Linked DNA regions of Mytilus edulis. The protein of the gene in region 1 binds, or shares a complex with, the protein of each later gene. Links are inferred from orthologs where the notes say so. Each region holds a gene or a part of one and is shown in the gene's direction. Other genes may lie near its edges. The genes, in order: protein dispatched homolog 1-like and sonic hedgehog protein-like.

Region 1 (15,984 bases):
GAAATATTGATTATATGGAAAGTTGCATCTTTAGCAATCTCATCTGTAAAATTCTTGACAGATTTCTTTGTTAAACTGATATCATAGGTACACTTTAGCAATGTCTCAGTGCTGAAAATTGATTTTCAAAAGAGTTATGCCCCTTATAGACCTTTATGATACGGAATATTGCATCGTTAGCGTGTACTATTTTTGTAAATTTTTTTATGAAACTTATATCAGGTTTTTTTTTATCAGCAATGCCTTGGACGAGTTCAATTTAAAAAAATCCGTGCCGATTAATTATTTTTAAATGAGTTACACCCTTGAAAATATTGATTATAAGGAAAATTGCAATATTAGCACTCTTATGTGATTAATTTTTACCAATATAATAAAATTTCTTTAATAGGTTTATATCATTAATGTCTCAGGCCGACACTTAAAAAATCAGTGCAGATTAGTTGGTTTTTGAAATCGTATTGTCCCTTGGATATATTGATGTATGGACAGTTGCGTTGATAGTGCTCTCATATGTACATTTCGTGTCAGAATTTTGTGAAATTTGTATCATAGGTTTATATCAGCAATGCCTTTGATACTTTTGAAAATCAGTGTTTATCAAATATTTTAAACGAGTCAACTTGAGCCTCTTGGAAAAATTGATTATAACGGAAATCGCATTGCATTTGCTCTGAAGCCTTTACATCTCGAAGACATTTTGAAATGGTTTTAAAGATATCTAGTTATTGCCCTTATACACTATAAAACATGTGCAACACGGAGGACTTGGGACTCTAGGTCTGTTTGTTTTTATTTAATGTCGATTTATTTATGAATTTTAGAGTTTTTTGTGGTGTCCATTTTGGGTGAGCTAGTATATTCATGATTAGGGGTCATCTAAAGCCCGACTCCAAATGCAGGATTTTCTTGTAGGGTTCAAGACCCATTGGTGGCATTTATCTGTTTTTGCTCTTTGGTTGGGTTGTTCAGTTTTTCTTTGACACATTCACCGTTTCCATTCTCAATTTTATTATTACTTATTAATTCAATTGTGTGTTTCCAATATACATATATGTAGCCACAGTCATAAAAAAAACCTATTTTACGTACGAGATCCACTGCATATACTTTGTGAAAATATGATATTGAAGTCCATACATTATGATTATATTAAATTGTTTCCAGTCATAAAAACAGCAAAAGAAGATAATTCTATTTTATATCTACATTAATTGAATTGCATATTAGTTTGCCAATTACTAAAAAGTTGAGAGTACATGTTTCCAGTTGAAGATAGGCTTTCTGAACTGAAACGATTTTTTCTTAAATCCTTCACATCCTTATATAATGGTAATTACTAGTATTGGCGTGGATATTTTATCAAATCAATCCATCTAATATTTAATGGAAAGCTGGTATTAGACGAGATGAGAATAAATTGTCTTCCCTATAAAATGCACAACAATGCAAATATAAGGTAAAGGTCCGAATCAGCTTTTCCCCGCCATATTTTATAAATCAAATATCTCGAAAAGGAGCTCCATGACTTATCAATATTTTTAGCTTTTTTTATCCTTAACTAATACACTTCCAGGTTAAAGTATCAATTTTGAATTCTTGAATTATTTTTACCTTAGATCACCTATGACAATATATGCCTTTAAGAATTACTTTGACACTCCATAACACCAGACCTGGCAAACTTGATTAAGACGATGGAAATGCGAAGTGTAGACGGTCGAACCGATGGACGCAAAGTGAGACGAGATAGATCACAAAAGCCCACCTGACCAATACTAGTAATAGATTTTGCAAACGAAAATTTCTACTGAATTGTCCTTTCATACTACCGAAACAAAAAATTGAAACTGCAAATTTTTAAAATTATTCCCGTATTAGTGCTTCATATATTTATGTTTTGGTATTTAGCAAGATACTTACTTACTTACTTACTTACTTACTTACTTACTTACTTACTTACTTACTTACTTACTTACTTACTTACTTACTTACTTACTTACTTACTTACTTACTTACTTACTTACTTACTTACTTACTTACTTACTTACTTACTTACTTACTTACTTACTTACTTACTTATAATATCTGTTTTTACTTTTTTTGATTTTCGGAGGTCGTGCCAGACATTATATATACTGTGTTCCATAAACCACTAAAATCAGAATAAGATGCATTTACGAAGTTATGTTTATTTTATGGGGATCCCATGCATGCATATACGAGGGGGGGGGGGGGGGGGGGCAAGGGGGCCCCAATAACAGCAAAACAGCAATTTCATTTGGCTTATAACAGATAACAAGGAATTAAAATGGACAAAAACAGATAACAGTAAATGAAACATTAAAAAAAGTCGGGTCCTTGACAAATCCAGTATTTCTTATTGCAGGTATAATCCTTTGTAATGAATGTTTTTAAAATTATGTATTTAAAATGTGTTTACTACTCAATATATTTTTATACCCTCATTTACGGGACGTATAATGGAATACTGTTGTGTGTCTGTCGTCAACATGTCGAACATTAACTCCAACACTCTTTAACCAATTTGCATAAAATTTTGGGAAATTGTTTATATATATTGACATGAGCTCCCCTTCGTTTGTTTTTTTTTATAAATTTTAGATTTTAAGTTTCTGATTAATGGGGTTTTATTCAATAAAAATGGTTGGTTTTTTTTTCTCAAAAATCCTTTCACAAATTTGTAAGGAATTTTGGTGAATTGTTTATATCTATTGACATGAGCCCCCTTTCAATTTTTAATAAATTTTAGATTTCACCTTTCCGAGTGAAGAGGTTTTATTAATTAAAAAGCGGGTATTTTCCTGTTTTCGGATATAAACACAAAAACGTTTTCAGCAGTTCTCATAAAACTTTGCTGAATTGTTTATAGCTATTGTTGTTACGTAAGAGTCATTTCTATTTTCATTAATTTTAGATTTTATGTTATTGAGTTAAGGGGTTTTATTCATTAAAAAAGATGGTATATAATTTTCCAGTTTTCGGACAATAACTTAAAAATGTTTTCAGCAGTTCTCATGAAACTTTGGTGTGTTGTTTATATATATTGACTGAAGCTCCCTTTCGATTTTTATAAATATCTGATATGACATAAAGAAGTTATTAAATATTTCAAAAAGGGAGACGGCGTATCATGCGCTCATGGCGTAGCTGTTTATTTGTTATAGAATACTTTTTTCAGCATTTATTTTTGTAAAGTTATAGAAACTCACACATGCTTGTAATTTAAATAGTGTGTAATAAAATTGAGAATGGAAATGAGGGTCAAAGAGACAAAAATGATATCTAGTAAAAATTCAAGGGCAGTTATGGTATCAAAGCAGGTCCAATTGACATAGTTCTTGTGTTTGTTGCTACTAAAAAATGACCTAAAAGAGTTTGAATATATATATTCGCATTCTGACTTTTTTTAAATGCCCATTTAATGAGGTGTGTGAATTTTTCTTAATAAGACTATGAGGCAAAGTGGTATATATAGGGTAGAAAAATCCAAAGCACCAATTATAAGCATGCAATTTATCAAGTACCTCGAAAAATTTTGACACTCCAAAAGTAATTCATTCCACTATTTTCAAAGGCTTAATTTGAACAATTTTTTATTAGGTTTTTGATTGCACCAAGTGTACTAAGATAAGATAAGATAAGATATTTTATTTTCCAATTATGGGCCCAAAAGGGCATAAACATTACAACATCAATAATTTTTTCATAATACAATACAAACAATGAGATAAAAAAAAAAAAAAAAAGTTAAACGAGAACTATTTAAGTTCTTAAAGAATACGTAGATAAAGAATCTATAGTATGTTTTTTTTTTAAATACTAATGCATTTTATTGCAAGTGTGGTTGATATAGATAACAAACAAGCAGCCCAAAAAGAAAAAAAGAAAAATAGATATCCACATATGTATAGTACACAAAAAGTTGGATCAATTAAATATATAATAATTAGCCAAAAAGAAAGTAGAAATTAAACATGTCCATGACTCATCCTGTGTCAGCAGCAAATAGGAAAGCATTATGGTTTCCTAAAGGCAGCTGACACCAGGGGGCGATACCTTATGGGCCATAGGCATGTAAAATGTGTGTAAATGTCTCTTTCCTACCTGTATCAAAAGCAAACAAGGAAGCATCATAGGTAACTTGAATGCAGTTGATACCAGGGGACGATGCCTCAAGGATATAAGAGAACATTTGAATAAATAATATATCTTAACAATTATTTTTTTTTTTTTAATCGGCTAGTATGTTAGTAAGTAGAATACATAGTTTAGTAGGGCCCGGGAACGATATTCCTGACCATATGTTTTCCTTTTTGTCATATAAAGAATTGTTCTTATTTAATATGTTCGCATGGGAAACAAGGAACATTATCCTCATACAAAAAAAATAAGATAATTCTAAATAAAATTGAGAATGGAAATGGGGAATGTGCCAAAGAGACAACAACCCGACCATAGAAAAAAACAACAGCAGAAGGTCACCAACAGGTCTTCAATGTAGCGAGAAATTCCCGCACCCGGAGGCGTCCTTCAACTGGCCCCTAAACAAATATATAATATACTAGTTCAGTGATAATGAACGCCATACTAATTTCCAAATTGTACACAAGAAACTAAAATTAAAATAATACAAGACTAACAAAAGCCAGAGGCTCCTGACTTGGGACAGGCGCAAAAATGCGGCGGGGTTAAACATGTTTGTGAGATCTCAACCCTCCCCCTATACCTCTAGCCAATGTAGAAAAGTAAACGCATATAACAATACGCACATTAAAATTCAGTTCAAGAGAAGTCCGAGTCTGATGTCAGAAGATGTAACCAAAGAAAATAAACAAAATGACAATAATACATAAATAACAACAGACTACTAGCAGTTAACTGACATGCCAGCTCCAGACTTCAATTAAACTGACTGAAAGATTATGATTTCATCATATGAACATCAGGCACAATCCTTCCCGTTAGGGGAATACATGTGCATGTTCCAAAAAAATGGAATTTATTACAAAGGATAATCATAAGATATACTGGAATTGTCCTTGACCTCACTTCTGTGATGGGTATATGTTAATGGAATCCTTCTCCGAATACAGGACCTACATATTAGTAGTGGTAGACCCCAATGTATAATAATCTTCAATTTCTGAAAATTTAATTGCTGTCAAAAAATGCTAACATTCCAATTTCCAATAACAGTTAACAGCGAATATATTAATTATCACAATAACAGATAACAAAAAAACTAAAAGCCCAACAACAGCTAACAAAGAATAAGACAATAACAGCTAACAGCAAATAAGTTTTCAGAATAACAGATAACAAAGAATTAAATTGCCCCATAACAGCATAACAGTTAAACCCCTTGCCCCCCCTCATATACATTCGGCAAATGTTTAGGTTGCAAGTGAGACTTGAATATATATATAGACATAGAGACTTAAATAAATCGTAGGTCAGTTGATGAGTAATCACGTTGATTATACTAAACTGACTGTTTTATATACTTTGAATGTTAAAAAAGATGGAATGATCTCTACTGATACTTTATTAAGGGGGTCTAATAAGTTGAAGACAATCCATGCTTTGCAAATTTTAGGGGGAGCACGCCCGCCACGCCCCCTCTTCTCTTCTTCTTTTAGTTTCCGCACTCCATCATAATATTGATGACTATGTGCCGTGCATGCGTGGGTAAAATTTACAATTTTATATTTACATCAACAACAAAAATTGAATAAAGAAATAATAACTTGTTTTTGGTTTTCACTGTACATATAAGATAAAACTATTTACAAGGTGTTACATTACATGGTGTAGTATTGGTTGAGAACAGATATAGGAATCTGTTCTCTGAATGTTTCAACTGTGGTGCATTGGACAGCAGTAACTGGTAAAAGTTTCCATTGGACGATTGTCCTAGGATAGAATGAAAATTTATATGAGTCTTTTTTTGCCTGTATGTGCCTGAATGAGTGACTATGAGTGTATTGTCTTGTTCGACTGTCTGATGGTATTAACAAGTTCGTAGGGTATATTGCTACTTGGTGGTGTATAATTTTGAAGAAAAATATAAGCCTTGTTCTTATTCTTCTAATTTCAAGTGTTGGCCAGTTAAGATGGTTAAGCATGTTTGTCACAGAGCTGGTGTTATGATATCGATTACATATATATCTGGCTGCGCGTCTTTGGACCATTTCTATTTGTGATTTTTGGGATTTTGTATGTGGGTCCCAGATGCAGCTACCATACTCTAGCTTTGGTCTCACAAGTGAGATATAGGCCTTTTCTTTAACTGACTGCGAGCTGACTTTAAGGTTTCTTTTGATAAAATTTAGTTGTTTAGTTGCATTTGCTGTGATGTTATTTATGTGTTTGTTAAATTTTAAATCAGTTTGTATGGTTAAGCCAAGATATTTGGTAGATGTTTCTTTTTGCAAAGTGTGCCCATGTAAGATGTAGTCATATGGGAGAGGTGTTTTCTTTATTGTTACTTGGAGGACTGAACACTTGTCCGGATGGAAGGACATGAGCCAATCCTCTTCCCACTTTGCTGCTGCTGGACATGAGCCAATCCTCTTCCCACTTTGCCCCCGCCTAAATCCGCCCCCTATAAGGGTCCATATAACGTAGTTATACATGTTAACTTAGACACTATGATACTAGTCTATGTATATGATCAAAGTTGGCCTTAGTGGTCAACCTTTGTGTTGACAAAAGAATATGGTTATTGGCTATACCAGTACAACTGGTACCTGATACATCCAAGTTAGGCTACCAGATATTTTACAGGATTGGTTCGTCTGTAAGTCTTAGCAATAGTTGTCTGGTCAAACTCCCCACAAAGACATGGGTATGAATCTATATGAATTGTACATATCATTTCTGAAACATTCAGTACATTATACATGGGCCATACAAGAAATTTCACGAGAAATGTCATCCCAAACACAGGTACTTGTGGACAGGATACCCTTTGGGTGCCCCTGAGTGGGAGTATTCCGAATGACCCTCCCCCCCCCCCCCCCCCTTTGTAGTTTAATTTTGATTTATTTTTTATTAAACGTTTATTTAAATTGTTTTCACTGGGAATATATGTCGAAGTTACTGACAAACGCATTTGAGATTTTTGCCAGTCGACTGATACCAGGTTGGAACCCCCCTTTTTTTTGGCCGATTAATGCATTTAAATGGGGACATATAGTTGGAACCCCCCCTTTTTTTTAAATGGCTGGATTCGCCACTGATGAGGGGGGATAGGACCTTTATCGGGACTCCGGGATCAGGTGTTTTTAAGCTCAGGATTTCGGGATCCGGGAATTCTATTTTTCGAATTTCCAGACCTCGGGATTTCGTATTTTTTAGCCCGGGATTTCAGGATATCGTGTTTTTAAGCCCGGGATTTCGGGATCAGGACCCCTCCTAACCCCCCTCACTGATATAATAATAATGATAATAATTAATATTAATATTGTCGATTTTTTTTTATTAAGGGGGTTTGCGGGTCTAAATCATTTATATAGGATTTCTCTATATTTTTCTATAAATGAACTTTATCTTATAGTTAATAGAAAATTAAAATAAAAAAGTGGGGTCACCGTTCATTTGCGCTCACAATCTGCCTTCGAAAGAAGCATACATTTTTGTAAAGGTGGTTGAAGTAATAGGAGAAATATAGGTAATATCGAAATAAAAAAAGAAATTTATTACAGAAATAGCTCAAATTTTACAATAATTTAGTTTAAGTACAGCTTATATGGAAATTATATTAAAAAATATATGTCACCGATGAGTTAAAAAAGATATTTCAATTTTAAAGCCAAAAAAGGGCATTTTTCCACCAAAGGGAGATAATTTGGAACTTTTTCAATGATGTACACATTTTAAATGTTATCTGGGGCCAACACGAATTGATTGTTTTGAATGATTTTTGGAAAATGACGCAGTCATTGTTCCATAACTGCCGACCTGATTTCTCTGCCTACCGCGCTTGGTTTCGTATTTACTAATTTCAATACAAACTGGAATGTGCTTGTGTTATCATTATGCATGAGCATTGTGTAGTAATCAGCCAGGAACCAGTTTACAAACCAACTGGTATCTGTTTGTATTCCACTACAGTCGAACAAAGTGTTGTAGTTTGACAGGAACCAGTCCAGAATTTTGTAAACTACAAAACGTAATCGGTTATTATCATTCCGTTTTGTTGTTTCATACCGACTTATATGGGTTGAATAAGCTTAAGACCCTTCAAACATTAATGTGATAGGTATATTAAAGACTGTTTTACAAAAGGATGAAACTGTTTTGCTTTAAAAGTCGTACTAAAGTGATATATGTTATGTACGGATTTCCACTCTCACCGGTTAATTTCTTCTTTTACACGTGCTTTTGAAACTTCCTGTTTAAACATCGCAAGTTTTAAAATTGTTTTTTGAGTGAATTAAACTAATTTTAACAATCACGAAGCGTTCGGGAATCATTTCAAGCAGTTTCTTCTTCTCTTTGATGATGGAAAATAGGTTTTCTCAAGAAAATACCGCAAACGATCGCAGAGGAATTGAAACGTACAAGTCAAGTCGGCACCTGGTTAAATTGGCATCTAGTCAAATCGGCACCTATTTGACGTCAATTCGGCTTCCAATAATATTTATTATAATATTTTCTATTCAATTAATTAATAACTGTTACCAAGTACATAGTGAATATTAGGTAAACAACGAAACCAAAGTGAATATGTTGTTGTGTATAAAAGTAAACAACGAAGCTATTGTTTTAACCATTAGACAATTATTAAAATTAAATGGAAAACTATGAGTCCCTTTCAATAAATCAAACTGTCATGCCAAATAATTAGCAAATTTAAGGTGGTTTTTTTTTCAGTAATGTTTAAACAGCATTAAACAAACAATCCTGTAAAAGACTCAACTGGTTAAATAATGCATAAAAATATCCAATATCTCATGTATTAGTCCAAATAATAATGACGTCTGACAAGGCTATTTTATTTTTTTCTGGGACGCCTTCCTAAGACGTTCGTAGGAAGGCTTCCTAAGAAGGCGTCCCAGAAAAAAATTAACATAGCCTTGTGGTCATAGGAAGGTGTCCCAGAATAAAATTTAAAAAGCCTTGCCAGACGTAATAATTATTTGGACTACTCATATATATCATTAAAAATACACCAAAAAATTCATGTAGTTGAGAAAAATAAATACATACAAAATGTACATGAACATCCAAAAAAGTGAAAGTTAGTATTAACTCTTTTTGCTTTAAAAATTTACAACTGCATTTAAGTATTGAATGCTTTTTTTTTGTAAATTCATTGAGGTGTAAAAGCGTTGACCGAAGTACTTTTTGTATGAAGCGCGTAAGCGTAAGCGCATCATTCTAAAAATGTGCACACGGTCAACGCTTTTGCAACCCTATGAGGTTACAAAAAAAAACATTCAATACTTATAATTACTTTTTTTAGCTAGGATCATGAAAACACGAATTTTATAACTTTTTTATTCAATTCATCTGTGCACTTTATTGTGGGACCACGTGTTATCATGAATGAAAAGTTTTATTGAGTGATGCAATTGCTTGAGGAATAACATGTGATGTGCAGTTAGCCAATCAGAATAAAGTATTATAATGAAACATATATCAAATGTAATTATAACAAAATACATTACGTTGTAAGAGTTATCTCCCCAAACACTGTTTTTCTTGTGGCCACCTCTCCTTCGTAACCGTAAAAGATTTTATTTTACCAAATTGCTCGTTACATATTTAGGATAAGAATATTCGTTTGAACCATAGCTCTATGGGGACTCCATATGAGAGTTATTCCCCCTTTTTCATTTGATTCAAGCGATATGCATTTTCAACTGGTAAACCATAACTGATAGAGACCTAGGGTCTTCATGAGGTCATTGGTACTAAAAATGAAAATGAGGTCAATGTCAAAGGTCAAGGTCATATTATAAATTTTGATTTTGGCTTATTTTCACTTCTTTTCAAATACTAGTACTGTATGACATTTTGACAAATAATTTTTCATAAATTATTAGTTGCGACATGTCCTTACTTGTATATTTTGGTTGAAAGGCTGCGCATACAATAAAAGGGAGTTTTTGTCCATCTTACATTTAAAATTATGCGTCAAGTGGTAGTACTCATTAACCAAACATATTAAAGACCTAGGATATTTTGATTCAAGGTCCATGGTTTGTGACCTTGAAATTGAGGTCAAGGTCAGAGGTTAATAGGACGTCATAAAGCCATAGGAACTAACATTTTAAACTGATTTTTCATATTTCAATATAAAAATAGATCTTTTCTAGTGGAAAGACTTCAATTGTTCTCTGAACAATTTGTTTTTAATTTACTTCATATTTTGCGGGAGAAGGGGGTTCAGACTATGTGGTATCAGGTCTGTTTGCGCCCAATACACTTTCACACCTCGCACGTTCACACCCAAGGTCCGTTCGCACTCTACTCATTCGCGCCCAATTTTAATTCAAATTCAAGTTGAATAATTGGAAAATCATGATTGTTGTTTTAAATTGCTTTGGTGTAAATTCTGAATGTATTTATAGCTTGGTATGAGTAAAACATTGAAGATTTTAAAGGAAAAACACAAAAGATAATTGTTTTTAAGCCCTTTGATCTGAAACAACGAAACAATAAAATATATAGGAACCAAAATATAGCAATCCACTATTATAACCAAAACATGACAAAATTTATTCAACACACAGAAAAATAAATAGTCAGAATCTCACTTCATTATGAAAGAGGTCAATGAAACAAAGTATAGCAATACACTAACCAAAACATGATTAAGAGTTATTCAACGCTAAATAAAACGTTGACAAAATACCACTTTATTTAGAAAGGATTATTATTATCTTTAACAATACGCTATCCAAAACATGATTAAGATTTATTCAACACAAAAAAAAATGCTGTCTCACTTTATTTTGAGACAATGACAACAATTATACTTATTAGAAAACACTTGCTTACAGAGTTATTAAACACAAAACCAATTAAGATTAGTTGCGAACATGTAGGGTGTGAAAGTGAAAGGGGGCGAACATGAGTTGGCGCAAACGTGAATGGGCGCGAACGGACCCGGATTAGCCTATGTACCAGTGAGAAATATAGAAGCCTTTCTACGGTATTTATTTGTACAATTCAGGTAGTCTTGACCTATTCATTTGTCTTAAAAAAAACACCAGCCAGTTGGCACCTTCACTTCACACACACACATATACGAATATCAATTATATGCTTACGAGACATGTTGCATTGTTAAACTAATTATGGTATGTGAAAATCAAGACTTGCATAAAAACTATCCCAATATTAGAGACAGTGGCGTCATTTTTCTTCAGAGCTTTCAGCTCTTTGATTGTACCATATGATAAAGTAACAACTACAAAAGGTAATAAATAAAATTTGTAGTGAAAAACAAATGTTTAATTGTTTCTGAAATTTTTATACCCTCGAGCCTCCTTAAAATAGAATAATAAAAAAAACAAACCCAAAAAACTTAAAAAATTATCTGCATGTACATTTTGTATTTTCTACCTGGTATGAGAGACTACAAAAAAAAAAAGTCAATAGATATATTCTTATGCAAATATTTTGTATCAATGGTTCTGATTGGATGACAGTAAGCGTAAAATTCATTCTTAATCTCTTTGTCTGTAACTAAGGAAGCAGACATTTTGAAGTGTGGAATGTACAAACATGTAATTTCTATAATAATAAGCAAAAGAACTTACATGTTGCACCTAAAAATCTTCATTTTATCAAATTGTATTACATTCTAAAGCGGCAAAGAAGCCAAAAAACACCTGGAATTTATGTTTGATGACGGAAGCATACTTATGACGTCACCTAGTTTAAGGACCAAGATAACATCTTTTCCGTGATGATTGTTTAATGTGATTATTTTTATTTATACAATAGGCTATTTGCCAATTCCGGTAAATTGACCCTGTTATTAGCTATATATATAGAGATCCCCTTTTCTCCCTTATGAGGGACATTAATTTTTATTTACAATGGGGAGCTAGCAGAAAGAGCAAATTTCCCTTTGCCTAATGTGAGTAATTTTTAAGGTTTTCAAATCTTTTAATTACATGAAATTGTTGTTAAGCGAAATGCTTTTGTTTTGCGAAATTATTTTTCGTGAAAAATAAGTTGAACCGCCGATACACCACTTTCAATTTGCTATGCTTTGCATTGGCAAAAGTCAATTTTGTCCGGTATGGAACCAGTTTACGATTCACAAAGGGAAGTAATTCGTTTAAAAAGTGTGTAATAACAAAATCAAATTGGTAATTGGCAAATGGACTATTCTCTGTTTAAAATTTGCACTCTAAAAAATAATATGTACTGATCAAAGGGTGCTTATGTGTGGGAGAAATATAGATTCCACAACTGCAACAAGTGTATTACAATATTTCTCCACTCGAGACAGTTAAATTTTAATATTTAAAGCGCAAGGCTTGCCGAGCTCTTTAAATAATTAAAATTTAACTGTTGAGAGTGGAGAAATATCGTAATACACACGTTACAGTGGTGGAATCTGTTTCCCTTTTGGTTTTTATCCTTCCTTTTCAAAGATTTGAGAAAAGTTGTGTACTTTTGATGTGACGTCATCAGGCATGGTTGCCTTTTTTCATGACGTCACAATAAGAAAATTCAGAAGAACGCAAGAAAATTTAACGTCACAATTAGATTTCAACCAATCATTTGCCGAGAACAGATTTTTCACTAGTGAGGAGAAATATTTTTCTCACACCTGTCAGGAAATGTAAAAATAGCACAAAAATTAGAGAACATGATTTTTTAATTTGATTGTGTAAAGCAAATACATATTAAAAATATAAAAAAGCAAAACAGAGTAGTACGCATCAAAACAAACAAAGAACATGCAGTATAAAAGCAAAACAAGGTTATAATATGAAAACATACAAGTACTACACTGTACCATGATTAAAAACTTCCTCAAAGAAAGCATACACATGAAATTGAGGAATTTTGAGCACTAGTATGGATAGTCTTTATATCAGATTAAAGTTATCCAACACTCTCTTTACTCAACAGCTATAGTAGGAATAGTTAAATGTAGCTGTCGAGCTTATTTTCCACTAAACATTTGATAAATAGCTGCACTGATCTTGTAGTTGTGGAAAATAGTGCGTCTCAGCTTATATAAGTGCTAGTGATTAAACATCTAGATGCAAACCAGGGGTTACATTCTGGCTTCATCTTTGAATTGTAGATTGTTACCCTTTGTTAGAAAAGATGGTGATTTGCAAGAAAATTTAAATAATTATGATATTTATTTTGTTTAATCAACCAAAAAATTTTAATTGGAATTTCATACCATGCACTATATATGTAGATTTTCCCATTTGTAGTGAGGAGTAATAGGACAGACACTTTTTGAGAACTAGGATCTTATTACTCATTAACATTTTATTATTCATCTTCTTGCTCCTGCTAAACCTCTGATTGGTCAAGAAATTTTCTACACATCCTTAGTAATTGCATATTGAACTAAACATTGTCAGACCTTGTTTTGTCTTCTTTTAGAATCATATTTTACAAGTTAAAATGGTCTCTGTTGGATTGTCATACTTATGTCCTTAATAAAAGACATGGAAACAGTATCTAAGACTAAATATTACAGAAATACTTCTGATGTTACTTTTATTGTTGGAAGTATTTTTCCAAAACAAAATTTCTGACACTGTCCACCCAAGGCTTTGGCTTCTCCTGTAGGTTTTATTTCAACAAACTCTACAGAAGTAATACAATGTGCTTTTTTAACCCTTTACCTCCTTTTGCTGGTTTGTACAGACCTGTTACTACAGCATTGTGAAAATTGAGTCCACACTGTATCATCCACATTGTTTTTCGTTAAAACATCTTGGTATATGAATATAATAATGGCCAATTTCAATATTTTTACCTCATTTTCAGTGGCCATGAAGTCCAAGTTTCCAAAGTTTTTGATTAAAATGTAGGTATGTATGTATTAATAGAGAAATGGCTACAATTAACCATTGATATTTTCAGTGTTGTTGAAATTCCTGTATTTAATTTTCTTCCAAGCATATTATATTTAATGAAATATCAATCAGACTTAATCTAAATTTGATTTCTAGTTCTTTCATTCTTTACCTGACTTTTCAAGATGAAATTAAACTATTAACAGCTAGTTTACATTTACTAGACAACATCATCAAAAAGGAATCCTATTTGTATTTCAATGTTTTCTTCTCATCAGTTGCTCTTAGAAACCAAATTTGATCAAGATTTTAAACCCAAGTTCAATGGGCTGTTTCAAAACCTCTGTTTATGTAGTTCATACATGTTTCTCGTTTCTTGTTTTTATATAGATTAGACCGTTTGAATGGATTTACATTAGTAATTTTTGGGGCCTTTTATAGCTTGCTGTTCGGTGTGAGCCAAGGCTCCGTGTTGAAGACCTTACCATGACCTATAATGGTTTCCTTTCATAAATTGTTATTTGGTTGAAGAAACTTGTCTCATTGTCACTCATACCACATCTTCCTATATCTACTCATGCATTTTGGGAAATATATTCTAAAGCGCACACCAAAACATTATGAGGGGTTTGAAACGTCCCAAACAATGGAAATTCAACCATTGATGTGACTTCTTTTTTAGCTCACCTGTCCCGAAGGGACAAGTGAGCTTATGCCATCACTTGGCGTCCGTCGTCGTCCGTCGTCTGTCGTCGTCTGTCGTCGTCGTAAACTATTTCAAGAATCTTCTCCTCTGAAACTACTGGGCCAAATACTTTCAAACTTTAACTGAATGTTTCTTAGGGTATCTAATTTATAAATTGTATCCGAAGTTTTGATCTATCAACAAACATGGTCGCCATTGCTAAAAATAGAACATAGGGGTCAAATGCAGTTTTTGGCTTATAACTCAAAAACCAAAGCATTTAGAGCAAATCTGACATGGGGTAGTATTGTTTATCAGGTCAAGATCTATCTGCCCTGAAATTTTCAGATGAATCAGACAACCCGTTGTTGGGTTGCTGCCCCTGAATTGGTAATTTTAAGGAAATTTTGCTGTTTTTGGTTATTTTCTTGAATATTATTATAGATAGAGATAAACTGTAAACAGGAATAATGTTCAGCAAAGTAAGATTTACAAATAAGTCAACATGACGGAAATGGTCAGTTGACCCCTTTAGGAGTTATTGCCCTTTATAGTCAATTTTTAACCATTTTTCGTAAATCTTAGTAATCTTTTACAAAAATCTTCTCCTCTGAAACTACTGGGCCAAATACTTCCAAACTTTAAATGAATGTTCCTTAGGGTATCTAGTTTGTAAATTGTATCCGAAGTTATGATCTATCAACAAACATGGTCGCCATTGCTAAAAATAGAACATAGGGGTCAAATGCAGTTTTTGGCTTATAACTCAAAAACCAAAGCATTTAGAGCAAATCTGACATGGGGTAAGATTGTTTATCAGGTCAAGATCTATCTGCCCTGAAATTTTCAGATGAATCAGACAACCTGTTGTTGGGTTGCTGCCCCTGAATTGATAATTTTAAAGAAATTTTGCTGTTTTTGTTTATTATCTTGAATATAATTATAGATAGAAATAAACTGTAAACAGCAATAATGTTCAGCAAAGTAAGATCTTCAATTAAGTCAATTTGACCAAAATTGTCAATTGACCCCTTAAGGAGTTATTGCCCTTTAAAGACTTTTTTCACAATTTGTTCATCATGTTGACTTACTTTAAAAAATCTTCTCCTTTGAAACTGCTGTATCAATTTCAGCCAAACTTAGGCTAAATGAGTTTCAGAGTATCTAGTATAAATTTTATATTTTATTTCCTTGTATGTCAAGAAACATAGCTCCTATGGCTAAAATAGAACATAGGAGAAAATGATTATTTTTTTTGGC
Region 2 (17,671 bases), on another chromosome or scaffold:
TACCAAGTTAAATTGCAGCACAAATTACCAAGTTAATATCTGCAGAGGTTATTGCAGCACGTATTATCAAGTTAAATTGCTGCACAGGTAATCCACTTTAATCGCTGCACAGGTCATCAAGTAAGATTACTGTAAAGGTAATCTTTTTAAATTGCTGTAAAGGTAAACAAGTTAAATCGCTGTACGGGTAATCAAGTTAAATTACTGCACAGATAATCAAGTTTAATTACTGCACAGATAATCAAGTTTAATTGCTTCATAGCTCATCAAGTAAAAGTTAAATTTCTGCAGAGGTTATTGTAGCACATATTATCAAGTTAAATTGCTGCACAGGTAATCAAGTTTAATCGCTGCACAGGTCATCAAGTAAGATTGCTGTACAGGTAATCAAGTTTAATTTTGTACAGGTAATCAAGTGAAATTACTGCACAGATAATCAAGTTTTATTGCTTCATAGGTTATCAAGTTATATTACTGCACATATAATCAAATTAAATTACTGCACAGAACATCAAGTTAAATTACTGTACATGTGACGACTGAATAGACTGCACTCAAATGTAGATTAAATACTTGGATGGGTCAAACCTAACATTTGTATTTTCTGCCTCTTCGTCATGAATGGAATATTTAGAGTATAACAGAGACAGCAGATGTAAAACAAAGACGGCTAGATGGCAGATTAGTAAGTCGCAGTATGGGAACATGTTTTCCTGTAAACCTTCTAAGGTAACACACTTAATATTGGCCTCAACGTGTTGGCTTAAAACAATGCAATTATTTTTAATACCACATTAACTGAAAAAGACCCAAGTTATAGTTGTTGTTGGGCGTCTAGCAGCAGTTATCACTCAACTAATGATTTTGGAACTTTATTCAAAGATGGGTTTTTATGTAATTAGGGTTTTTATTTAATTGGGAAAGCAAGAAGTTTTTAATTTGATTGATCAATTGATCAAAGAGTCAAATGCATTTAATCTTAACGAAATTCCTAAACTATCATAGAAAGTTTGGAACCCTGTCCTTCACATGGTATATCAATAACAAAACTGTATTCAATTTCCAGAATGAAGTTGAAGTACATAAATATCTGTTTACTAGACGACTTGTTGGGTCTATTACATGCAAATTGATTAATCAGACACTTTGAAATGACAGAAAACTGTAAAGATCAGAAAAATAACACGTTAAATGAAAGATTGCATGTTTATTGATCAATGTTTTCATAATTGCCGCAATACTTTTCAAAGACGTTAATTTCCATATTGATACCAGTTTTCTGTTGAGATGTCTGTTCCTCCGTACTTTTAAAACAGATTGACTACTATAAATGCCTTAACAAGACTGATATTCGTATCTTGATCTTCTATGATACAAATAACTCATATATAAACAACCAATTTCGTTAGGATTTGACGACATGTAAAGAAATAAAGAAACTTATTCCATTAGACGCAAGAAACTCTGCATAGTAGATAAAAGTTTGCTGTAAGTTGGATAAAATTTCCACGCCGTGTATATTGGGTTCAAAGCTTGTGAATTATCTTATTAATAGATGAATTACATCTTTTTTTACCTGATACTTGTAATTAATGTGCCGTTTTAGGCAATCAATGTCAATTACAAATAGATAATGAGGATAACTTTACATGAAGACGATCATTCTGTTCAGTAAAGGGTAAGTGGTATTTTTTAACTTTTATAAATTCCAGTTTAAATTTGAAGTCCGATTCAAGACTATATTAGTAGGGTATGTCATAGTAATTGAATACGTTTGAAGTAATATGATGATGGACAACACCTTACTTTGTCATTTAAAGTACTTTTTTCTTAAAAATTCATATTTTAATCAAACCTTTCTTTTTTCGACTTTTATACAGGTATTAATTCAGTTACTGCCTTTTTTCGTCTAATCATCTTTAATATGTTTGTTTTTCGTTTATTGTTATTGCATGTTTTCTATCTTAAATTGCTATATATTTTGTTATGATGGGGCCCTTTAAAACTTACTATACGGTATAGGTATTTCTCATTGTTGTAGGACCTATTGTAACCTATTGTTTTTATCCTCGTTCTTTTGTCTCTAGTGAATATTTGTCTAAATGGCAATTAAACCAAGTCTCTTTACTTGTGCATCTTTACTTTTAACTGAAATCTAAGGTTTAAATCAGAATACAGACAAGCTCACATGCAACTACAAGACTACAAAAAACTAAAGTACTGGATACTTTGATCATTGATTATGTTAGACTAAAAACGCCTAAATTTTAAATTATAATAGAACTCATTCCTGTACATGCATGAAATATTTGCAACTGGACGTTTAAAAAGCAACCAACAATCAATCAACCTTATAACCCCGTTTTAGAGGTAAAGCTTACTCAATATTTAGTTTGGTTATTTGTTTGATACGCCACAGTTTAAAATTGCTTCTTTTTTGGAGTAGAAAAATGTTGATTTCAAATCTTGACATTATTATTCTATTGGTTATCGGAGTTTCAAGACGTGTCTTTTGGTAAAATGTCAGAGCTTAAATAAAAAGGACTTCGATCCATTACAATAAGTTTAATTAATACTATGATATCAAAAATAATCAGACAATTTATTCCACTTTATAAAAATTTCGGATTCTCATATTTAGTGTCCGTCTCCTTCCCATGCAAAAAGAGGTCCTTTAGAGGTCGACTATTCGATTTTCTTTGAAGGGATAAACGGGTGGATATGGTATATTCATTTTCACTTGTGGAAGACCGGCTTATAATAAATTTTGCAAACGTGTAAAAAGTCATCTATTTTGAGTTGCATTATTGTAAATATATGTACCCAGTCCCTACAACATACTTATCTTTATCAGCCACTTACCACTTATATCATAACTCGAATAATCCAGTCGTTACATTCCGCTACTCTTCTCCGAGTTGGAGAGTCGATCATGGGATGGAAATGAATTATTCGGGTTACCCATCTCATATCATAACATTGATGCCAGAGGTTTTCTGCATTTTATACTTACACATCAGCTATAATAATCTAAATCCTCTAAAGGACATTCCTTTCATTTGTGATCAATTCAAAATAAATGATAGCTTTTTTTCATTTTATTTACATATATCGATATCATTAACGTAAAAAAAATACTACAGTAAAACAAAAACAAAGATTTATCAAATGCCAATTAGCATTAGGTGTCAAAATATGGATCACCAATTTTAATATCCCTTATTATGAATAAATGTAATTTTAGTTGTGGATATGTATGTGTGTTGAAGTATAAATGGGGAACTCCAAAAACAGTGTGATCTTTGAAAGAAGTCATAATTTGAAGTTAATTATTGGTGGTAAATCATTCGAATTGGCGCGCGAGCGTTTTGTCTATTTTTTTCTTGTCATTGATATCTCTTACAAAAAAGATGAAATAATTACAAATTCTAAGAACAATTTGAAGCTCGGAAGGGTTAAATGAAATAAAGGCAAATACAGCTTACATTGTATTTCTTTATTCAGTAAATAAACTTATAACGAGTACATTAATTGGACACGCACAACAACAATGAAAGCCTTATAGTACAACAACAATGAAAGCCTTATAAAGAGAACGTATGATAGTGTTTTTTTTTCGGGGGGGGGGATTTGAAAATCAAGCATAAGAGCTCACAAAAACATTAGTCTGTCAGATATTGGTAAAATATATTTGATTTTATTTTGTAACTTATTTTAAAATATATTTGATTTTTTTGGTAACTTATTCAATTTACGCTTTAAAAGAAGAATTGCAATAGCTGTTTAATGTATCTATTTCCGAATATTGAAAGTAGTTAATCTATCGACTTCAATCAACTGTCAACAATTGAGATGTGGGTTGGAACCCTGCTTGTAACAGTTGCGTTCGATTCCCATCTTAATTAAAGAGGATTTCAAGTTTTCTTGTCGAAGGTTGTTTGTTTTCTCAAGGTACTCTAGTTTCCTCCACCAACAAAACTGGCCTTCATAAAATAGACAAGAGTGACGAATGTGACGTCCAACAACAACAAGTAATCAATCAAGGCCATAATTCTTTTCTTTTGAGATCTGTTCTTAATATTTAGTTATAAACGATAGCATAATTTCAAATGGTATTTTGAAAAGAGGTACATGTATCTGCTACAAAAATGTCAATATTGTGCTTTCCTGCATCCAAAATGTTCTTACTATTATTTGTGCTAGTTTGGCGATAGTGTCAAATGTGTTTTCTTAATGGGAATGCTATCTTATAGATTAATTTTGCAACTTGGAGCCTAACTTCACAAGCTTTGACCCTAGAAACGTATATTTAATAATACCTTTCGATTAAAGTAAGTTTAAATGTAGCAAGACAAAACAACTCTTGACAATCTCATAATATACATAAATGTTGACTGATATCGAATTGTTCATTTTTTTTATGTATGAATGAAAACAGCTGGTTTGTATCAATAAGAAAGCAACGCAACAATTGGGCAAAAAACAAGGGGTCAAACTACGATAGACAAATACATGTTTCACTTGTGAAGCTTAAATACGCCCCGAGACTGGACGAGATGTACTTACATTTAACATAGACTACCACAAATCTACCATCGACGCCAAATTCTTTACGCACTTAGTCAGTTATACATGTACAATGCATAGTCATTTTAGAAAGATAAAATTGTAGTTATAATATCGATAAAAGACATATATACATGTACAATACCTAGTCATTTTAGAAAGATAAAATTGTAGTCACCTTCATAGCGAGTACATATAAACTTATATATTTTAAAATATTGAAAGTATATAGAATTTATCAAGCAAATTGCTATGAACGTTTAAACAGTCACCGTTTATAACTCTTAGTCGTCATATTTTTTTCTCTCATAGAAATCGAGTTTGTTGGAAAGACGACTGCGAAAAGAACCAAAATAAACCGTGACGTAAACCTTGATATGAATTTATCATTTCGCTACATAATACATTTTTTTATATAGACTAGACCGTTGGTTTTCTCGTTTGAATGGTTTTACACTAGTAATTTTTGGGCCCTTTATAGCTTGTTGTTCGATGTGAGCCTATGCTCCGTGTTGAAGGCCATACATTGACCTATACTGGTTTACTTTTATAAATTGTTATTTGAATGGAGAGTTGTCTCATTGGCACTCACACCACATCTTCCTATATCTAGGTATAGAAGAACTATATCAAAAGGCGCGACAATTATTCTTTTTTTTTTTAAATTGTTTATATTAGAAAGTTAAATTACCAATGTTATTTCAGAATTATACAACTGCCGGTGTTCCCGACTTGGGAGAAGTACATACACATGTAGTTTAGCTGAACTAGCTTTGTGAATACCCAACTCTCCACCTTCTTTAATCAATCTTTAGGCCAACAGAATAACGCACAAGACGTCATATAAAAACATTTAATTCAAACCAAACTTTCATATGATAGAAATATTACAGACGCCAATAACAATATCTTCAAACAATACCACACCAAAAATGCTGGCAGTAAGTTTAAGTAAACTGAAAATACTTAACATGTAGTTTTCACCTTCCAGTTGCTCTCAATGAACCTTTTTCCATGATAATTAATCGATTTTGGCGCGGCCCTAAATTAACCTTAGTAATGTCCTGTCAAATATTTCTTACGGCTACTGTATGCATCTGAAGCAATTGTAGACAGTACCAGAGGCTGAAATAATTATACAAGTCAAGTGTGACTGAAATTTATTACACCAATGCATTACTAACTTGTGTATATTCCCTTAGAGGTACGATTAGTAAAAGTTTTTTTTCACTGAAGACGTAAAACAAGGTCATATCATACCTTTTCTAAAAAAAGTTACAGAACATTTTGTTAACCTCCTTTTTCCACATATTTTATGATCCAAATGTGATGATGAAACGTTTGCAGTGATCTTCATTAGGTATGTTCGAGATCAACATAAAGGAAAGGCTAAAATACAGATGTACAATTATAGTCAAAACAGATCAAATGGTTCTCAACAAAATCAGTTGCACATATTTGCATCGATAAGATTTTTTTAAAACATTCTATGCTAGCAATACAGAAATACCTACCTGTAGGAATAAAAGAGGAGTTTGATATTAACTAGTTCTGCAGGTCTTGAAAATATTTTTTTATCCGTACAGATCGGAATCATGCTTAAACTTAAACAGTCCGTTTATAAAGAGTAAACAATAGCAAACCAAAAGTAAAGATTGGTGGCCTTCAGCTGTTGTCTAGCTGCTCTATGGTCGGGTTGTTGTCGCTTTGACACATTCCCCATTTCCATTCTCAATTTTATTTCTTGCTTTATAAGTATGAAATACTTAGATTATACAATCAAGTACTGTTCAATTTATTTCAAAAGATTGTTTCTACATATCTCATTAAATAGATGTCTTTATAACTTCTTGATTTGACTGATTGATGTTTAACGACAATTTAAACACTTTTGTGCTACTTCTTGGCGGTCAGTTTTTCTTTGGTGGAAGAAACCAGAGTGCCCGAAACTCCTAATCAATTTAGATTATAGTCGAATGCCACTAGGCCACCGAAGCCCCCTATTCATTTTTTTATGAAAACATAAACTTGCTTAAAAATCATATCTTAAACATCTTCAATCCATGTTAGGTTCGGCTAAAGCGATTTTCACTGTATATGGTATGTCGAACGTAACTAATTTTTAACGACAAGAATATGTTATTCTATAGTTTGAAAAATTGATAATGATGACATAAAAATCATATTGTTTTCAACATTTAGACTATAATATCGCACCTGAACATGTGTTTTCAGACAGAAATCGACAACAACAAAATAAAGACCACACAACATGGCACAATGAAAATTGATGGGGAAAATCTATTGAATCATATACAGTAAATTAAATCATGAAAATGATATTTACCAGCTAATGCCTCGTTTAACATCAATTTTACGGTATATTATTTCTTGACAACTCCGACTGCATTAGCAATGCATTAAAGGCAGTGTACACGGTAGAGATTTATTTACAATTGCACATTCACTAAGTTAACACGATTATTAATAGCCTTTTAATTAATTTAATCAGTTTGGTGCACCACCTTTATTGACTGAAATATCACACAAGAGATTCGTTTAACAATTATATAAAATTAATCTATTTTTGATTCGGATTTTTTTACTAGCACGACGTCAATAAATACTTATCTTGGAATGTTTTAAAGTGGGGTACATATCATTTGTCAAATTTGCTAACACTGATTCAAAAAGCGAATAGGAGGGAGCAAAAAGTAAAATAATAAAAATACCGAACTACGAGGAAAATTCTTATAGGAAAGACCATAAGCAAATGGCAAAGCACAAACACATCAAACCAAGAGATAACAACTGTCGTATTCCTGACTTGGTACAGGATTTTCGAATGTAGAGAATGGTGGATTATACCCCGGTTTTATCGCTAGCTAAACCTGTCACTTGTATAACGTGACATAAAAAAGGCCGTTAGTTTTCTCGTTTGAATTGTTTTACATTGCTATTTTGGGGCTTTTTATAGCTGACTATGCGATATGAGCTTTGTTCATTGTTGAAAGCCGTACGGTGACCTATAGTTGTTAATTTCTGTGTCAATTTGGTCTCTTGTGGACAGTTGTCTCATTGGCAATCATACCACATCTTCTTTTTTATACATAAAATTTATGCAAGCCATATTAAAGTGAACCACTGCTGGTCAATACTAGAAGCACAGGGTCGAAGATGTAATTAAGCAACGGGAGAATTAGAGGTATAACATGGAAAAAAATACCGTCACGAAGTAAACATTACCGAAAAAGTGTTCATAGAACAAACATATACGATTGTATGGGAACCGTTGCGTGCTAAGTTTCAATCGTGTGAATAGATTTTAAACTTTAAAAAAATAATTTGAATTAAATCCAAAAGTTTTTGATAAATAGGAGTGTTCATTTTTCAGTAGTATGCAAAAATCCTAAAAGGTATTGATAATCAGATATAATTGAATGCTAGAGACAGATCATGTTCAACCATGTTAACCACAAATCATTTGAAGATATCAAAGATTTCAATCACTTGAAATGTGTATCTGTGCCTTATTTTAATAATTACCTAAAGTTTTTATTACGTTTCATGCTTTTTTCCAATGATAGGATAAATGTTTTTTTTACATTATAATCTATATAGCTATAGATACTGTTGCAATTTTGCAGATATTTGGAATTTGTTTGCTTTCAGTTTATGATATACTTATATATAGTAGTTTTATAATAAAATTAGTGTAATTAGTCGTCGAGCTACAGCTTTCAACAAGATATTTAACAATTTGCTTCGTAACTTCTTATTTGACCATGAAACAATTTCATGATTATCGATACCAAGTACATATACGTTAGACGTCTTAATACCGAAACAAGGTTAAGACGAAAATGACCCGCTTTTAACCTGTTAGGCTCAAAATTGTTTTTGTCACCCACGTGACAGTAATTGAGGGTAATAATGGAATTACATGCTGTGACTTATCAAATCATTGTCTATCAAAGATGGAGTTGCAACGTAGTGATTGACATTAGTAGTTGACATTGTAACTTAACATGTGGTACAATTGGAATTTTATCATATTATGGTATTTAAATGCTGACTTTATACATTGTATGAGATCATCTGAAAACAAAGAATTTGTCACCTACGGTCACCTAGACATATCTTCTATTCTACACTTGAAGTCTTAGTCATAATCAATACTCTATCTGATTGTGAATTATTTATTTTCAATGATATATATGAAGCATGTTCTGACTTTAGTCACATTTACCACACTTTTCTTAAATTGTCCGTTGATAACTTAAGAAGACATTAAAAAAAACGAAGATTCTTGCTCCCTCGGACAAATTTTACCTTTTAAGGATTTGAATTCTCTTAATTGTCTCATTTTGGTTACAAAGCTCTTTCAATAATCAGCTTTAAATACATCTTTGGTTTTCAAAGTCAGGGATATGAGCTTTCCCTGATGAGGATAAAGTCAGAAACACAAGAATTTTTGAAGAGTTATTTTTATTTTTGAATTGTACAATTTGACTTCAGAGTTGTCTACCTTTAACTAGTAAGAAAAACAAATGATCAGTTAAATAAAGTCATATACTAGTAGTCAAATTACTTAACCTTAAGTAGATTGATCTTAGTGACATTGATAGATTTTATGGTCAAGGTACAATAAATTGGCCAGTCACAGATTTAGATATGTGTTTGCATAAGTTTACACATACTTTGTATTTGTCAATATTTTTTTTTAATTTGGTCCTCAATGCTCAACTTCGTACTTTTTTTGGCCTTTTTAACTTTTTGTTATTGGGGTGTCACTGATGAGTCTTTTGTAGACGAAACGCACGTCTAGCGCAAATACTAAATTTCAATCCGGGAATCTATGATGAGTATATTTAAGGCCTTTCTATACAAATCATTCAGGAATATTTGTATAAATAAAAGAGATAAATGCATTATTGTTTTCGAATTTAATTGTAGTTCAACTGGCCAAAGTTGAATGCAAAATTTGACCAGAATCTGTGACATGGTTCCTTTCCTGAAACAATGTAGCACTGTCAGCCAGAAAAGCTGGAACTGCTGTTCTCTATTGACATACCTTAGATATACCCGTCTTATATTGGGTTTGTCCTGTTCAATCTTTTGTTTTTATGTGGTGCTTTCTTTTGGCAACTACTTTTTTCATCTTTCATAGACTCAGCTTTTTTATATGTATTTTATTGTCTTCTCCCTTTTGTATGTCCTTCTTTCACTCCGCAAGTTGTACAGGTTTTCGCTGAAGTTTAAATTGTATCTTTGTCTTTTTGTTATCCAGAATTCAACAAAACTGTATGATTGAAGTAGAAGGTATCAATCATACATTCCATTGCAAAATACCCTTTTGTAAAAAGTAAAATAACAAATATACCGACCTCCAAACAAAATTCCAATCGGAATGTCCTTTTTAAAGTGGCAAAATCAAACACATACAAAGACTGGAAAACAACTGTTATACTTTTCTTATCCATTATCAGCAGAAATATCTCCTTTTTTATCAGACCTAGAGAAACTGGAATGATATTTTATAAATTTAGTATGACTGACTCTACAATTCATATGCATACAACTATTTTCTTTAATGTCGATTTTTGAAAACTTTGTTGCTCTTTCTTGCAGGATTATACTTTTTAAAGAAAATAAATACAGGGAATAAAAGAGATAAGTCATATATTTATATTCGGTTAAGGATTTAAAAAGTATTAAAAAAAAAAAAAAAATTCCGAGGAAATTGCACATAGGAAAGTCCCTCATCAAATGGCAAAATCAAAAGCTCAACCACATCAAACGAATGTATAACAACTGCCATATTTCTGACTTTAATCCACCCCCCCCCCCCCTTAAAGATCAAATACAATAATTTTGACATCCTTGGTGTTCTGTTGAGGTCATCTTAAGTTTCTGTAGAGTGTAAACAGTAGCGTGATCAGTGTAATCTATCTGTATCTTTCCGTTCGCACTTTACGTAAGGCTATACCTGTCAATTGAAACATTTACCTTTATATTACTTGATTTTGTACGGACTGGATTGTAATATTTTCATTAAAGTAAGTTGATTTTTTATTAGGATATTTTTTTTAAACATTGTTTACAAAAATAAATCGTTCAAATTGTGGAAACAAAAAGAATATCCAATGTATTTCTCTTTTCTCAGTAGCATATTTTTTTTTTAAATTGATGGAAATTATTTCTATGATGATTGGCATAATATTTTCAAGAAAAATAAATTGGAAACACAGAAAAGAATAATCAAAGATACCAGGTTTATAATTTTGTAATTCATACATCAAAGATACCAAGTTTATAATTTTGTAATTCATACATCAAAGATACCAGGTTTATAATTTTGTAATTTATACATCAAATACCAAGTTTATAATTTTGTAATTCATACATCAAAGATACCAGGTTTATAATTTTGTAATTCATACATAAAAAAACCAGGCTAATAATTTTGTAATTTATACGAGCTTGTTTTCTACTACAGACTTTTCAGTGGCGCTCGCATTAAAACAAATGGTAGGCCATATATAATACGGAGATTTAGAGCTTTTAATATATGGAATTCCGAAACGTTATGCCAAATACAGCTTACACAATCTACCTGGTGGTAAAACAACCTTAGTGTTTGGAATAGTTCAACAATGAATACATTGATATAGGAAGATGTGATGTGAGTGTCAATGAGACAACTCTCCATCCAAATAACAATTTATAAAAGTAATAAATTATAGGTCAATGTACGGCCTTCAACACGGAGCCTTGGCTTACACCGAACAACAAGCTATAAAGGGCCCCAACATTACTAGTGAATTGTACATTGTACATTTACAAAAAAATGAACACTTCAATGGTGTTTCATGTCAACAAAAACATGGTGACTTCTGGGTTTGTGATTATCTCAGATACAAAACGTCCACACCTTCATGGATACCAATAATCACCCGTCAAAAGCCTATGAAATATGGTTTCTCGTTGATGAAGACCATACGTTGCCTATACTATAAATGCTTACATCCACTTCATTTGAATTGTCGTGGGTAGTTATCTAATTGGCAATCAAGCAACTCCTCCTTTTTTATGCAAACAAGTTATGATTTAAAAACAAATTGATAAAAAGATAGTTCTAGATCATAGTGTTATTCGATATAAAATTGTTCATTCTAGCTTCGTGGAACTATTTGGTTGAACCAAGCGCGATAACTCAATAGCATATAATTGATGGATATTCTGATGATGTATTTGAATTTGGACAGTATTTTAAGTTCATTTGGTTTCTTTAACAGTAAATGATAAACCTAACAATCGTGTTCCGGAGCACCTGAGATCACCCCCTTTAGTTGGTGGGGTTCGTGCCGCTAAGTCCTTAGTTTTCTATGGTGTGTCTTGTGTACTTATACTTGTCTGTTTGTCTTTTTCTTTTTTAGCCATTGCGTTATCAGTTTATTTTCGATCTATGTGTTTGACTGTCCCTCTGGTATCTTTCTCCCCTCTTCTGTAATAGTTTGTCGGTTCCAATCTTACAATTTTATATTTATCTCGTTAGCTTTAAAGGCAGTTGTTTAAATTTAAGTCAGAATGATACAGAGAAATATAATGTTAAATCTTATTCCATCAATAACAGTTGTATTGTTTTGCGGTATTAATTATTTTGTTAAGGTTCTACTATTTCCACGACTTTTTTTGAATGAAAGTATTGCAAATGCAACATCTTGATTGCCAGGTATGAATTACATTTTTAGATTAAAATGAAATATAAGTATGTAATGATTCACCCTTTCATGTGCGATTCAGTAACTACCTAAGTAGCATACCTAATCATATTGTTACACAACTGTTCCGCATTGACGTCCACTTAATGTCATTAATGATAAATTACTATAAATTATTTCAGGGTATTGTATGGTATATCAAACTTAAATTTAGAAGTTAAGGATTCGCGACGTTACATTAATACTAGTAATAGAGTCGCACAAAAGCCACTTCTTAGCATATTTTGAAGACCGTACGTTACCCTATAATTGCTTAATTTTACAAATTATGACTGGGATGGAGATTTGTCATATTGGCACTCATACCACATCTTCTTATATATATTTAAGTAGGAATTCAATAATTTCTGCATATTAAATTGGGTTTTGAACCGGTAAATATACAGCAGCTGCCCGAACCGACAAATTTATTTAGTACAGTGCTTTGTTTTGCATTGTGAAACTAACTTATTAATACTTAATATGTTTCTTTACCTATAATGCTCTACCCATTTCTTAAGCTGATATTTTGCTTTTTTTTGTACATGCATATGTTGCATACTATGTTCGGAAGATTGGACTGTATGAATCCATTAATGCAAGTCATAAACTCAACCATACTTCTCTTCTATCCAATTCATAAATCGATGCCACTGCTGGAGGACATAAGGTTCATCCCGAGGAAATCACTCGCGCATAAGTATCAATGCTTCTAATAAAACTTTGAATCAAATTCGAAACACTGAGGTTTTTCTACCCTCAGACGTAGATGATCTATCCGTATTTGGTACATATTTTTTGTTTTTTATATTCTTCAACTTCGTGTTGTATTGAGCCTTCCAACTTTTTTTTAATTCTAGCGCCAATAAAATGTCGTCGTATCGGTATGTAAACAAAACGTACGTCTGGTAATGAGTTTTTTTTTTTTTAGATAAATCTTAATAGAAAAAAATGACATACTTTCTAGGTAGGTTGCTACACGATATCCGCTAATATATGGTATGGTTATTGCAGTGTCTTTGTGTTTTGCTGTTTTTAAGGTTGAATTTAAAGTTCGCGCTGTTTTTAAGGTTGAATTAAACTTCGTTTTTAAGTAAATTATTGCTTATATTTTATTATTATCAAAGAATGCGACGTATGTAACTTCTTTTAACTTATAAAAAAAGACTTTTTTATAAACAGATTTTTTTTTAAAACCAATGATGAATGACAACAATTTGCTTACAAAATTTATGGATATTCATGTATGTTATTGTGTTATTCTTGTTAAAAGTTATTTCAACAAATCACTCAAAATGAAATGCAAAAATAAATAAGAGAAATTCAAACTATTTACGCAAAAACATATGAGTTATGATCATTATTATTGGAGCCTCAGACATTAGTTTTTAGTCAAGTTAATAAATTGTTTTTAGTGTAATACAACGCAGGGTTTTTAATTATACACACGAGTACATGTATACTAGTTAAGCACAAACGAATAAATAACAAAAATATTTTACAATGTGAAGACAGTCGTTTTACATGATACAGACAATTGCGATATCAAAGTGTATCCCCTTTTTGCAACTCACTGATGACTTTCCGCAAGGTTTTTTTTACATTTTTCTTTTTTCTTTTTTCTAAATTATACAAAGAATTTCAACCTTACAATTAAATTTGAAAAAAAAGTTTAAGAGATGCCAGATCATTTATTTGCATTTTTTAAAACATTTTCTACATCTAAAACATTAGGATAATTATAACAAATTTATCACTTCTTCACATTTTTGTAGAACCATTCAAATACTCCATCGATCTATTCAACAACATAAAAAACATGAAAAAGGATCAGCATAACAATAGAGTTACTTCCCTTTATATAGTAATACTAATTAGGGATAAAACTATTCCACCAATGATTTTCTGTATAAACAACAAAAACTAAAATAAGCTATGACTATACGGTATGGATTTTGTTTGCCAGCTATGCATACCGTCTCCCATAATGGCTTATAGCCACATTCATTTAAACTCTGATGGATTGTTGTCTTATTTCAACCATATCACTTGTGCTTGATGTTTTAAGCATACAAAATGTTATAGTTCCTAATAATTGGAAGGCTCTATTTCAATATTTCTGAAATTGTTTTTTAAATGACAGCGTACAGTATAAAACATTGCCAAAGTACCAATTTTAACAGAATATGAAACTGATTTCAGCGGGCAAGACACATGTTTCTGAAATATCTTGTAACAAGTTAGTTCAATACTATAAATTTGGAAAGGCCTTAAGGATGTACTTAGGTGAGGTTTTGGAAATTGGTGTCATATGTTTGGACTCCTTGCTTTTTTCTACTATATAAAGTAAAATATTTTGCCCCATAACACCCATTTTTCTTTTTATAAAAGACTTAAATAGCTCATAAAAGGTCATTTTCCCAAAATTTAAGCAGATTCTTGATTTCTGTTCGATCGATTTGAGACCAAAATAATACCAATTGAATACCGAGTCAGCCTTTTGCCGCCATTTTTTAAAACTCAAATATCTCGAAAAGGAGCTCCATGAACTATCAATATTTTATCTTATTTTGTTCCTATACTGGTGCTCTTTCGACTGCTAGTATATATTTTAATTTCTTGATTTTTAAAATTTCACCTTAGTATATCCTTAAATAGTTATCAAAGGTACCAGGATTATAATTTTTAAAAACGCCAGACGCGCGTTTCGTCTACATAAGACTCATCAGTGACGTTCAGATCAAAATAGTTATAAAGCCAAACATGTACAAAGTTGAAGAGCATTGAGGACTCAAAATTCCAAAAAGTTGTGCCAAATACGGCTAATGTAATCTATTCCCGTGATAAGAAAAGCCTTAGAATCATATTCAAAACAGTGTGGCTTTGGCCATTGATTGACGACCTTAAAATATCCCATTGACTGGGACAGATTAGGTGAACGCTTGTCTGTAACGATCACTGCTCACTACATACTTATTATAGAATTTAATCTGTGGGGTCACCAAAGGTTCTAAACGCCTTTAATGATTAAAAAATCGAAAAATTAATCAGGAATAACTTCATGTTTTGATTTATATTATTGATAAAAGTCAAAACATCGTGTTATTCCTGATTAATTTTTCGAATTACTTTATTTAGGTTTTGAGAACCTTTGGTGGCCCACAGTTTTAGTATCTTTCACAAGTACATAGTGAGCAGTGATCGTTACAGACAAACCTTCACCTAATTTGTCCCAGTCAATGGGATAATTTAGGTCGTCAATCAATGGCCACAGCCACTGTTTTGAATATGATTCTAGTTTTTTTACTTATTGTAGAATTTAAACTGTGGGGTAACCAAAGGTTCTTAACGCCTTCAATAATAAAATAATTCGAAAAATTTATCAGGAATAATCTTTATGTTTTGATTTATATTATTGATATAAATCATAACATCGTGTTATTCCTGATTAATTTTTCGAATTACTTCATTTAGGTGTTGAGAACCTTTGGTGACCCCACAGTTTAAGTGTCTTTAACAAGTACATAGTGAGCAGTGGTCGTTACAGAAAAACGTTCACCTAATCTGTCCCAGTCAATGGGATAATTTAGGTCGTCAATCAATGGCCACAGCCACACTGTTTTGAATATGATTCTACATAGTGTTGTAATTTTAGTGGTATTTGTTAACATTGTCATAAAGCGAAGTTGGGCTAGACATTAAACAAGGTTCAACCCACCTTTTGTTTTGCCCGTCATTGTTCCTGATGTTCCTTTGTTTTCCTCTTATAGTTGAGATGTTTCTCTCGGTGTTAGTTTGTAACCCGGATTTGTTTTTCTCTCAATCGATTTATGACTTTTGAACACTGGTTTACTACTGGTGCATCCATTTATTCAAATAGGTTTTTTGATTGACAGCAAATATATGTATGGACTGCAGCAAAGGTATTTTGTTGTAAGACTGTTGTCAATATCTGCAAAATGAAATGGAAGATATGAAGAGCTAGTGTTTTTATGAATACAAGAACGTTTGCGACGAAATTCAAGTACATTGTTTCTTATATTTGACAGACTGTGTCTTTAGAACATATAAAGTACATTATTAAATTTTTTATTCTGTTTTTATTAATCCAAGTGGTCAAAATTGGTGTTATCACTTCTTTTCATCCGAAATAAAAAGTAAAAAATAATTATTCCTGTCATAAACAAGAATAGATTTAATTATTTCCTTAACTTTATGCCTTAAACTCGCTATATATTTTTTTCCATCTAAGACCAGCTGAAGTTCAATTTAGTCTGTTAAATATCGTTTGACTATTGACAACTACACATTAAGTAGTACCTAACTGACACCCTTGTCAATTGACTAAAATTAAGTATTTAAAGGAACAAAAAGATTCGTTTTGTACCATAAATACTACCATAGTCGACTTCATTAAAAGATTTATTAGATAGACAATATCTATTTGACACTGGTTATTTTATAACATGACTGTCATGTGATACTGTTGTAAATCAGCTGACTATGTCACACTCCACTTAATTTCAGTTGAACAAATACAAAATAGTATTTAAAGTTAATTAAATTAAACAAATTATCTTTGACAATATTGTGACAGAATGACAGTGTAGTGTAATAAACGGTTGACCCAAGGAATTGTCCTCAACGTTTTGACTGTCGTAAAAATAGTTGCTTTTAAAAGTATGAAAATGCATCTTCTAAACTTATGAGTTATATTCGTACAGTTCAGCATCCAATATGTTAATACCTGTTAATACATCCTAACTTTTTAAAAAGAGGGACGAAAGATACCAAAGGGACAGTCAAACTCATAAATCTAAAACAAACTGACAACGCCATTGCTAAAAATGAAAAAGGCAAACAAACAACAGCACACATGACACAACATAGAAAACTAAAGAATAAACAACACGAACCCCACCAAAAAAACTAGGGGTGATCTCAGGTGCTCCGGAAGGGTAAGCAGATCCTGCTCCACATGTGGATAGTTTAAGGGAATACATTTAACTCTATTCCATAAAAATGAAAGTAACAGCTTATGAATTGTTTGCGTTCGAATGATTGTATCTTTAAAAAATTGCAATCCGAAGATGTAAAACTTTCTAAACATACGAAGAGCTAGTTCATCAAAATGAAAATGCAAGAAGAACCACTTACAATCAACTTTGCCTGACGAAGTTGGAATCTTTTTTTTTAAATCAGGATCTAGATTTTAGATGAGTAGCCTTCTAAAATTTACTTCTACTATAGTTGTAGTAAGTTTTCGTTTATCGGACAAATAACTCCAGAAAAGTCTGATGTTTATAGATTTATATTCATAGCAAATATCAGCTTCTGAATCT

The links.
Region 2: the proteins of protein dispatched homolog 1-like (region 1) and sonic hedgehog protein-like are in contact, whole or in part, in a cryo-EM structure (PDB 6TD6), measured with the Drosophila melanogaster proteins. The link is inferred for Mytilus edulis from reciprocal best matches to the Drosophila melanogaster genes disp and hh. Residues at the interface, in NP_524734.2 of Drosophila melanogaster: His77, His78, Arg250, Tyr253, Glu296, Ala404, Gln405, Ser406, Asn407, Arg408, Gly434, Asn755; in NP_001034065.1 of Drosophila melanogaster: Tyr100, Pro101, Val103, Leu104, Lys105, Gln106, Thr107, Asn110, Leu111, Ser117, Glu164, Lys165, Val168, Ala228, Gly229.

What each region holds. Positions count from the first base shown.
Region 1 is NC_092346.1:63,236,262-63,252,245, reverse strand, and holds the start of protein dispatched homolog 1-like, read left to right. Parts: upstream 1-6,776; 5' UTR 6,777-6,871; intron 6,872-14,010; 5' UTR 14,011-14,054; intron 14,055-15,984. UniProt on the Drosophila melanogaster protein: Segment polarity protein which functions in hedgehog (Hh) signaling.
Region 2 is NC_092345.1:55,464,329-55,481,999, reverse strand, and holds the start of sonic hedgehog protein-like, read left to right. Parts: upstream 1-10,573; 5' UTR 10,574-10,625; intron 10,626-17,671.